Linked DNA regions of Daphnia pulex. The protein of the gene in region 1 purifies or fractionates together with the protein of each later gene. This does not show direct contact. Links are inferred from orthologs where the notes say so. Each region holds a gene or a part of one and is shown in the gene's direction. Other genes may lie near its edges.

Region 1 (3,391 bases):
AATTAAATACTTGAGTTTCACTAAAAAAAACTTTTTCAGAGAACTTTTCTCATGACATAATATACGGGACATTTGGGTGGATTACTTGAAGGGATTCTGTTTTACTCCTTACACTTAACTAACGGCGACCTCTTTGGTTCGAAAAGGAAACTGAAGAAATAAAGGAATTTGAAGAGATAATGCATCAAACACGACCAAAATATCTAGAAAATGAAATTTAGAATGGAAGAAATTAGTCAAATTTTGTAAAACCTAAAACTAACACTTTATTATTTAATTCAATTATTTCTAATTTTGATTAGAAATGGAGGATTTTTTTACAATGGATTTAATAGTTAAGCATATCATCACAAAATTTTTTTTTCAGAATTCATCTCTTGCATAGCACTGACAGGCCTTATTCTGTGCTTCTCGATAAGCCTGGCATCCTAAAGCTAATGTTCCTGTGTACATTAACTTTGCAGTCCCTTTGCAGGCTGAACAGAAAAAGGACATTTACTAACATTTTTAGAAAAAAAAAAAAAATTACATTATTACCTTTCATGAACAGCAATGATAATTCTTCTTCATGATTTGAACATACTTTGTAGAGGCACTTTTTAAAATGCAAGTCACACAAATCTTTATCGGCTCCACAGTCATCATAGCAATAATCGTGGGTGTGACAGCATTCTTCTAACTCTTTTAAAGGCAGTTTCTCTTCTTTCCACTGATGATATTATTAGCACAAGAGATTAAATAGAACCAGCACACACAAGGATTTCTTCATTTACCGTATATCCAAATGATCCACATCCATTACTTTCCGGTATGTGCAAAGGATTTGCTTTTCTGATAAATCCTTCAACAAGAAACAGCATCAAGAAGATATTTTAATCCAAGCAAATTTGTTTTTTTATGTAAATTAACCTTTTGGACACGTGTATGGCTCACAATCTTCATCGATAGTTGCGTCAACAAACTGTTCTACTACTTGAATCGTTTTGGCCAACTTAGCAAGCCCATCAAGCCCAGTATGCAAAAAACTTTTAAGGTTGTGCATTGCATTTTTGATTTCATCAAAATAACTTTTTTGTCCGTCGACAAATAAAGCAGAAATGGTCACGAATACTAAAAGAATTCTGATAACTCTTGCTCTTGGAAATGATGACATTTTGAACTAGAGCGATAAGCGTTGCCAGTACGACTGTAAAAAAATTAAACAAAAAATTTATTTCACCAAAAATATAAGAAATCAAATAATATTTTAAAATTCAATTTAAACGTCAAAATCATTAAGTTATAAAAATTAATAATCAATAAAGAATATATTCATTGTGTTTCCTCATTTCAAACAAGGTTGCCTTTTGAAATGAAGTAACAGAACTACGTACGTCAGATCAGATGGTTGAGCGTTATTCCTTTTGCTTATTTATTTGTAAGTGATATGTTTTGTTTATCTTAGATCCAACTGTGAAATTACTACACTGGATATCTCTGTTTCCTTTTCCAAGGTTTTCTTACCTTGTTTAGTACAAACACTTGTCTAGTGGCTTACTTTGATTGAACTCATTCGATCTAGTCGATCAACACACTCGTATTTACTTTCTCTAGACAAGCTAGTTGTAGTTGTGTGTGCAATTTTTCAAGAAATTACGCGATATCCCTATGGAATTTAACTTCTAGTGACACTTATTCTTATTCCAACATCATGCTAAAGCATTTATCAAATGCATGTGACTTTTTTAAGGCTTAAAGTCGCAAACTGTATCTCAACTAATTATCTGTTTTAAATAGGTAATTAAAGTGGCAGAAGCTTCTACAAAGATGACTATGGGAGAAGAAAGCATGTTGTCTTCTTTAGTGTTGCCTATTTTGGTGGGCCCATCTCTGGTAAACTTGGAGAAACAAGATCCAGGTGCTGCCCAACTGCTGAAAGCTGCCTTTAGTAATGCCGAATCTGCCCATCCAGGCCTCTGCCACAGTTTCATTTTGGGACTGATGAAAAAGGCAGAATTGTCACAAAAAGTCAACATGAATGAGAGTCTTTTAAGAGTTCAAGGAGCAGCCTTGGATCAAGAATCACCTGATTACAGAATTAACCGCTCTGAAGATGCCTTTCAGGTAGCTCCGCTTTAAATATCACAATTTCAAATACTCATGATAGCCCCTTACTGAACAGGAACTGTGTAAGAAGTCAGTTGGTTTGAAGAAGATCCTGAGTAGAATCCCTGATGAGATTGGAGACCGCAAAGCCTTTCTGGAGACTATTAAAGAAATTGCAAGTGCCATAAAGAAACTGCTTGACGCAGTTAATGAAGTGGCCGTCTACATAATATTCGGCTCGGGAAAACAGCGCCTGGAACAGCGAAAACGAGAATTCGTCAAGTATTCTAAACGGTTCAGCACGACGTTGAAAGAATACTTCCGCGATGGACAAGCAAATGCTGTCTTCCTGAGTGCCCTCTGCTTGATACAGCAATCCAATTTCATTATTACAACCGTTAAAGATTGTTGTGAATAAGTTTTGTTAAAAAATCTTTCAAGCTGCGGTGAAGGTCGATGCTCGGAGACGTCGCAATTCGGTAGCGGTTTAAGTGGTGCTTCACACACAGTCGTGAATATTTATATTTCAAAAAATAAAAACACAACTTAATCCGTTCTTTCATCGTTTTACACCGTCCATTTTCAGATCAGGTGTGAGTACCCTTGAGGGGGTTGTCTGCATCTCTTCACCCCATTTTTTTTTCTCTCTCTCGTTATCTTATCATCCACAAAATCCTTATTGCTCGCCACCTCCTAGACCGCTCCTAATGATGAAATCCGTTGCATGTTATCCTAGCCCGACCTAACATTCCAGAGAATAAACATTGTTGAACTTTCTATAAGCAGTAATTATAAGCCTGTTTATATATATGCGGTGGTTTCGTGTTATATATATAGTTAAAAAGTATAGAATACACAGTATATCTTCGCAGTCTAACATAAATGTTGAGATTTTATTTGAATAATACAGACCAATTCAAATGTTCTAATCTTTTCTCTTTTGAGCTTCTGAAGAAACACCTTCGAATTTCAAATGTTTTCATTGGTTAGAGCAATCTGTTAAACAGTTTTACTAGCAAAAGGAAGCATGTGTAGCTTTTGAGAGCAATATCATAAACGAAGGGATAACTGCACGAAGAGTATACAGCCAGAAATAAAATAAAACTTGAAAAGTAAAATGTAATAAGGAAAAAAAAACGAAGAAAGTTTCTTCCAATAACAAAAAGTACGCTGTAAACTGGGAGCGGTTTGGCAAGTCTCAATAATAAGCCATTTAAAACAAAAACAAAAAGTAGAGAAGAAATCTACTCGAACAAGTTCCGGAGGATTACGATAGCAATGATTGTTTAAAGTTGTTTAAGTAAAC
Region 2 (4,094 bases), on another chromosome or scaffold:
TTTCTCTTTTCCGCCCAAAAAAAATTAATCCATTAAACCCCCTAGTGAGCGTAACATTGCTGCCAATCATCGCTTCCGACTTGTTCGGATACTTGACGTTTTTTTGTTAATTGATGTGTGTAGGTTCATGCACGTGGGATTGTTATCTTTACCGCAATCAGTTGGCATGTTGTAGTTTAATTTTACAAGGTGAATTGTACTAACTCTTTCTTGGCTCTACTCCAGCTTTTCATTGCGTTTTTTGCTGCTTGCCCATTTTGTTTTTTTCTCTTTCTTTGGCTGACATGGAACATTTGCTGTCTCTTTTTTCTACTCTGCTAAATTGATCGCGTCGAGCTTTACATTAGCTGTTCGCTACGAAAATGGATGATGGCTAAGTTATTCCTTTGTTTGGATTGGTGCAGAGCTTTTGGAAGAAACGCGCGCCAAGTGCCGTGTACTTGAGTCAGAAGTGGAGAGACGGCAGCTAGAGGCACAAGATGGTTGGTCTACAGCCGCACATCTACAGCAATACTTTAGAAACCTGCACAACGTTCTCAAAGGCTCATCTGAGCAGGAAGAGGAATCCGCTGATGAACCATCTGAGCTCGCTGAGCTCGTCCGTTCCAGTATCGTTTCACTCAATAATGAGTACCAAGAACTTCGAGAAGCTAATGCGAAGAATAAGGATCTTATTTCGCTATTGACCTGTAAGCAAGGAGTTTTTTTATCACTTTTTTATGCCAAATACTTCATTTGCAACAACGATATTTCAGTACGACTAAGTAATTACGAAAAGGAAGAGAAAGCCAATCGTGTCAGTGAAACCACCGCTCATAGAGGCTCAACCTCAGAATTGGAATATCTCAGGGACGAAGTTGCTATCCTCACCATCCAGTTGAAAGAGTAACAAGAAAACATTTTCTATCCATAATTAATTTTCTATTTAACCTTTTTTATTTATTTATTTTTAGGATGGAAGTGTCGAGGATAGAGCAAATTGAGGAACGCCAGAAATGGCAACAAGCCTACCAGTCGCTAGCTCTCAGCGTAGAGAATCGGGACAGTGGAGTGGTTAGCGGATTTAGCAGTCCAATCAGTAATCCACCGAGTTCCCGTGATCCTGAAATGAGAGATTCTGGCATCCGGGAACTTAATTCCGGAGAAGATGCTAATTCGGAAGAATATGTTACCATGCAGGTAAAACGAAATTTTATTTGAAAATTTCTTGAGGCACAGTTTTTAATTTATGTTTTTTTGTTTTTGTTATTTTAAGCAATTGTCTGAGGTACGAAACGAACTCGAAGCTTTACGGCGCCACTACGATAATGTACAAACGGAAAAGAAGGAGCTAGAAGAAGAATTCTCCCAGTTAAAGGACAACTACTCGTTACTATCTTCTCAGTCAAAAACGGTAAGTCCAGTCAGTCTCCGTTTCTTCCAAATCTTCTTTCACTGTTTTATGCACAATTTTAATTTGTAAGTTTTCTTCATTATTCTTTGGTTCGTTGATAATTCTATCCATCCATTCTTCTTTTTTCTTTTCTGTTCTCTTTATTTTTCTTTTCTTTTGAATGCCGAATGCATTTTCTAGGTTGGCCGCTGGATGTATGTAGTCCCGTTGGCCGTCCTTGTCTTGGCGGTCCTCATAGCTTTCAGGCCATCGGATTGAAATAACGATAAATTAAAAGACAGAAAAGGGGAAGCACCAATTCTATTTCATCCTTTGTCTTCCTTTAGAAAACTAAATGTGTGTGCCTTCTAAAAGACATATTCTTTTTGTCAGCTGAGAGTCCGTCAACTCTTGTTTTTTCCTCACGTGAAACTGAACGAAGAGGGAATAAGAAAAGGATTTGAACACAAAACAAATAAGAAGCTATTTGAATTCTTCGATAGTCTGCTTGATTTTGGATTCTCCTTTTCTCTCTCGCTTAGGTTCTGTTTTCTCACATTTTTTTTCTTCAGCTGTATTTGTTACCTTCTTATTATTGGCTTTCTTTTCTCTCGTTCGTCGACTTGTGTTTATGTGCCTTCAAAATTTATTTTAGAGATGAATTTATTGTTTTTGTTAGTTCAATATCCGTGGCCAAAAAACAACGCAAACAAAAACAACAAAACATTTTTCGCTCTGTATGTTTGCTTCGATTTACTTTATTCTTTAACTTTCATTTTTTTTTCTCGTCTTAAACTAACACCGCATTGACGTAAGAAATTTATGCTAACGGTGGACATTAGAGAACAAAAAAAAGCTGATCCATCGATTATTTTCCTTTCTCTTTTTCTCTGTTTGTTTGTTTTTTTTTGTTTTTTTTTTTGCTGTGCCTCTTGTTTTTTTTTCGTGTTTGTCTGCGCGTTTTCTGTAGGCGACGGCGTTGTGTCTCATGCCCTTGCTCGTATTGTTCATCTCGTTCTTCCTGGCCTTCTACCGCTTCTTCTCGCGGCTGACGGCTACATTCGAGCCCTGAGAGATTTTGCCGGACAACACGGAAGAAAAATAAGGAGAGAGACAATAACAGCAACAACAAAAACATCATCATCATCATCAATTGTTTTTTTCCTGTTCTTCTACCGATTGTAAGCTTTTTTTTTTTCAATTACTTCTATCTACGCAAATGGCGGGATATGCAGATAATATCCCTTTTTTCGTGTTTTCTTTTGAAACATATTTGCTAGCGACAGCAGCTTTTTAATTTTACCAAGTGCCATCAATATGACAAAAGAGTGATGTCATTAACTAGTGTGTGTTTTCCGTCAACGCTACAGAAAATGGCTTAGTCTCCTTTCTGTGTGTGTATGTAAAACGTACAACGTCGGTGGGGAGGGGGAGAGTCGAATCCTCTTTCCTCCACCTTCTAACAGGACCTGTGCAGAGTTATTTTTTCCTTTGCTATCTCTCTCTCTCTCCATGATTTTCTACTGTCACACAAAACACACACCCCTCCGAAGAATGTTGTTCCTCTTTGTTTTTCAAATGCTTAGTTTTACGGCATAGTTGGCGTGCAATAATAGGCTCCCCTCAATGATTTTTCTTCCTTTTTTTTTTTTTCTTTTGCTGTCCGTCCTACCTCTGTCTATCCACCAGCTCATTATCGTCGACATCTTTCTCTTGTGTGTGAGGGAAAGTTTAATATTTTTCTCACCAGCCAACGACATTATTTTCAGCTTCGCGCGTCTTCGACTTGAAAGAGTAAGAGTGGATCACATAATATTGATTTGATGGGTCATTGATTTACTCGTTCTGCTCCCCAGTTTTGTGTCACGTTTCCTCCTTAAGGTCTTTGGCGGATAACCGTCCGGCGAGATGGATAACCATCGCTGGGAGGCCTCGGATCTTAAGGAGTTTATGAAAAATTTCAACCAACAACAAACATGTTCTATGTTTTGTAGTCTAGTCCTCTTCTACGGATATTGTACACACTCCCCATTTTCTCTCTTTACTATCCCACCTGCCCCTGCCCCGTGTCCTGTTATTTAACTCGCCCCATTAAACATCAGCAACAAAAAAAAAAAGAAAGAAGAGAAAATGAAAAGAAACTAACAAGACAATACAATACTTTGTTTTTTTCTTTCTTGGTCTGGATCTATGACCGAGTATTGATGCTCATCGCGCTGCGGAACCGAAAGATTATCTGAAGACAATCGTATCGGTTCTGTTTTCGTGAAGCGGATCGGAACGACTTTTATGTACATTTTCTTCTCTCATGCAAGTAAGTATAGATGATATGCTGTTTCTTCGTGTTGTAGTTCAAGGTGGCAGCGAAAGCGAGTTGCGGTTATATCCCCGACGTTTTCGTAACTTTCCACTCGACACTGAAGAGTATAGCGCACAGCACGATTCGTATGAAATTCCGTTATTTTATTATTCATCGTTTTTTGTTACGATCCAAGATTTTCTTTGCCTTCCTTTTTGGTCAAACTTGATGTGGAATGATGACCAGCCGAGAGCCAGCTGGACAATCGTGCACGGCTGGAAATGAAATCCCGCCGTGCGCTCGGCTATGCTGTTGCCGTTGGTTCTGTGTGTGTGTGTGTGTGTGGTGCGTCGTTGAGCGTGTTGAGTGTAAGTACTTTTTTCACCTATTTGAACATCGAGCGCGGGCAAAAAGAGATTTTTT

Evidence for each region.
Region 2: the proteins of programmed cell death protein 10-like (region 1) and sarcolemmal membrane-associated protein-like purify together in Homo sapiens (affinity purification with mass spectrometry; 3 studies listed by BioGRID and IntAct, counting the BioPlex papers as one, with this or other methods). This does not show direct contact. The link is inferred for Daphnia pulex from reciprocal best matches to the Homo sapiens genes PDCD10 and SLMAP.

The regions. Positions count from the first base shown.
Region 1 is NC_060025.1:9,340,761-9,344,151, reverse strand, and holds programmed cell death protein 10-like, read left to right. Parts: upstream 1-1,350; 5' UTR 1,351-1,690; coding exon 1,691-1,711; coding exon of another isoform or gene 1,712-1,715; intron 1,716-1,776; coding exon 1,777-2,103; intron 2,104-2,161; coding exon 2,162-2,503; 3' UTR 2,504-2,862; downstream 2,863-3,391. Other genes in the region: group XIIA secretory phospholipase A2-like, read right to left, coding at 364-476, 538-709, 774-841, 910-1,153. UniProt on the Homo sapiens protein: Promotes cell proliferation. Modulates apoptotic pathways. Increases mitogen-activated protein kinase activity and STK26 activity. Important for cell migration, and for normal structure and assembly of the Golgi complex.
Region 2 is NC_060020.1:2,412,438-2,416,531, reverse strand, and holds the end of sarcolemmal membrane-associated protein-like, read left to right. Parts: intron 1-123; coding exon of another isoform or gene 124-189; intron 190-404; coding exon 405-885; intron 886-953; coding exon 954-1,179; intron 1,180-1,255; coding exon 1,256-1,393; intron 1,394-1,573; coding exon of another isoform or gene 1,574-1,651; exon of another isoform or gene 1,652-2,342; coding exon 2,343-2,444; 3' UTR 2,445-3,544; downstream 3,545-4,094. UniProt on the Homo sapiens protein: Associates with the striatin-interacting phosphatase and kinase (STRIPAK) core complex, forming the extended (SIKE1:SLMAP)STRIPAK complex.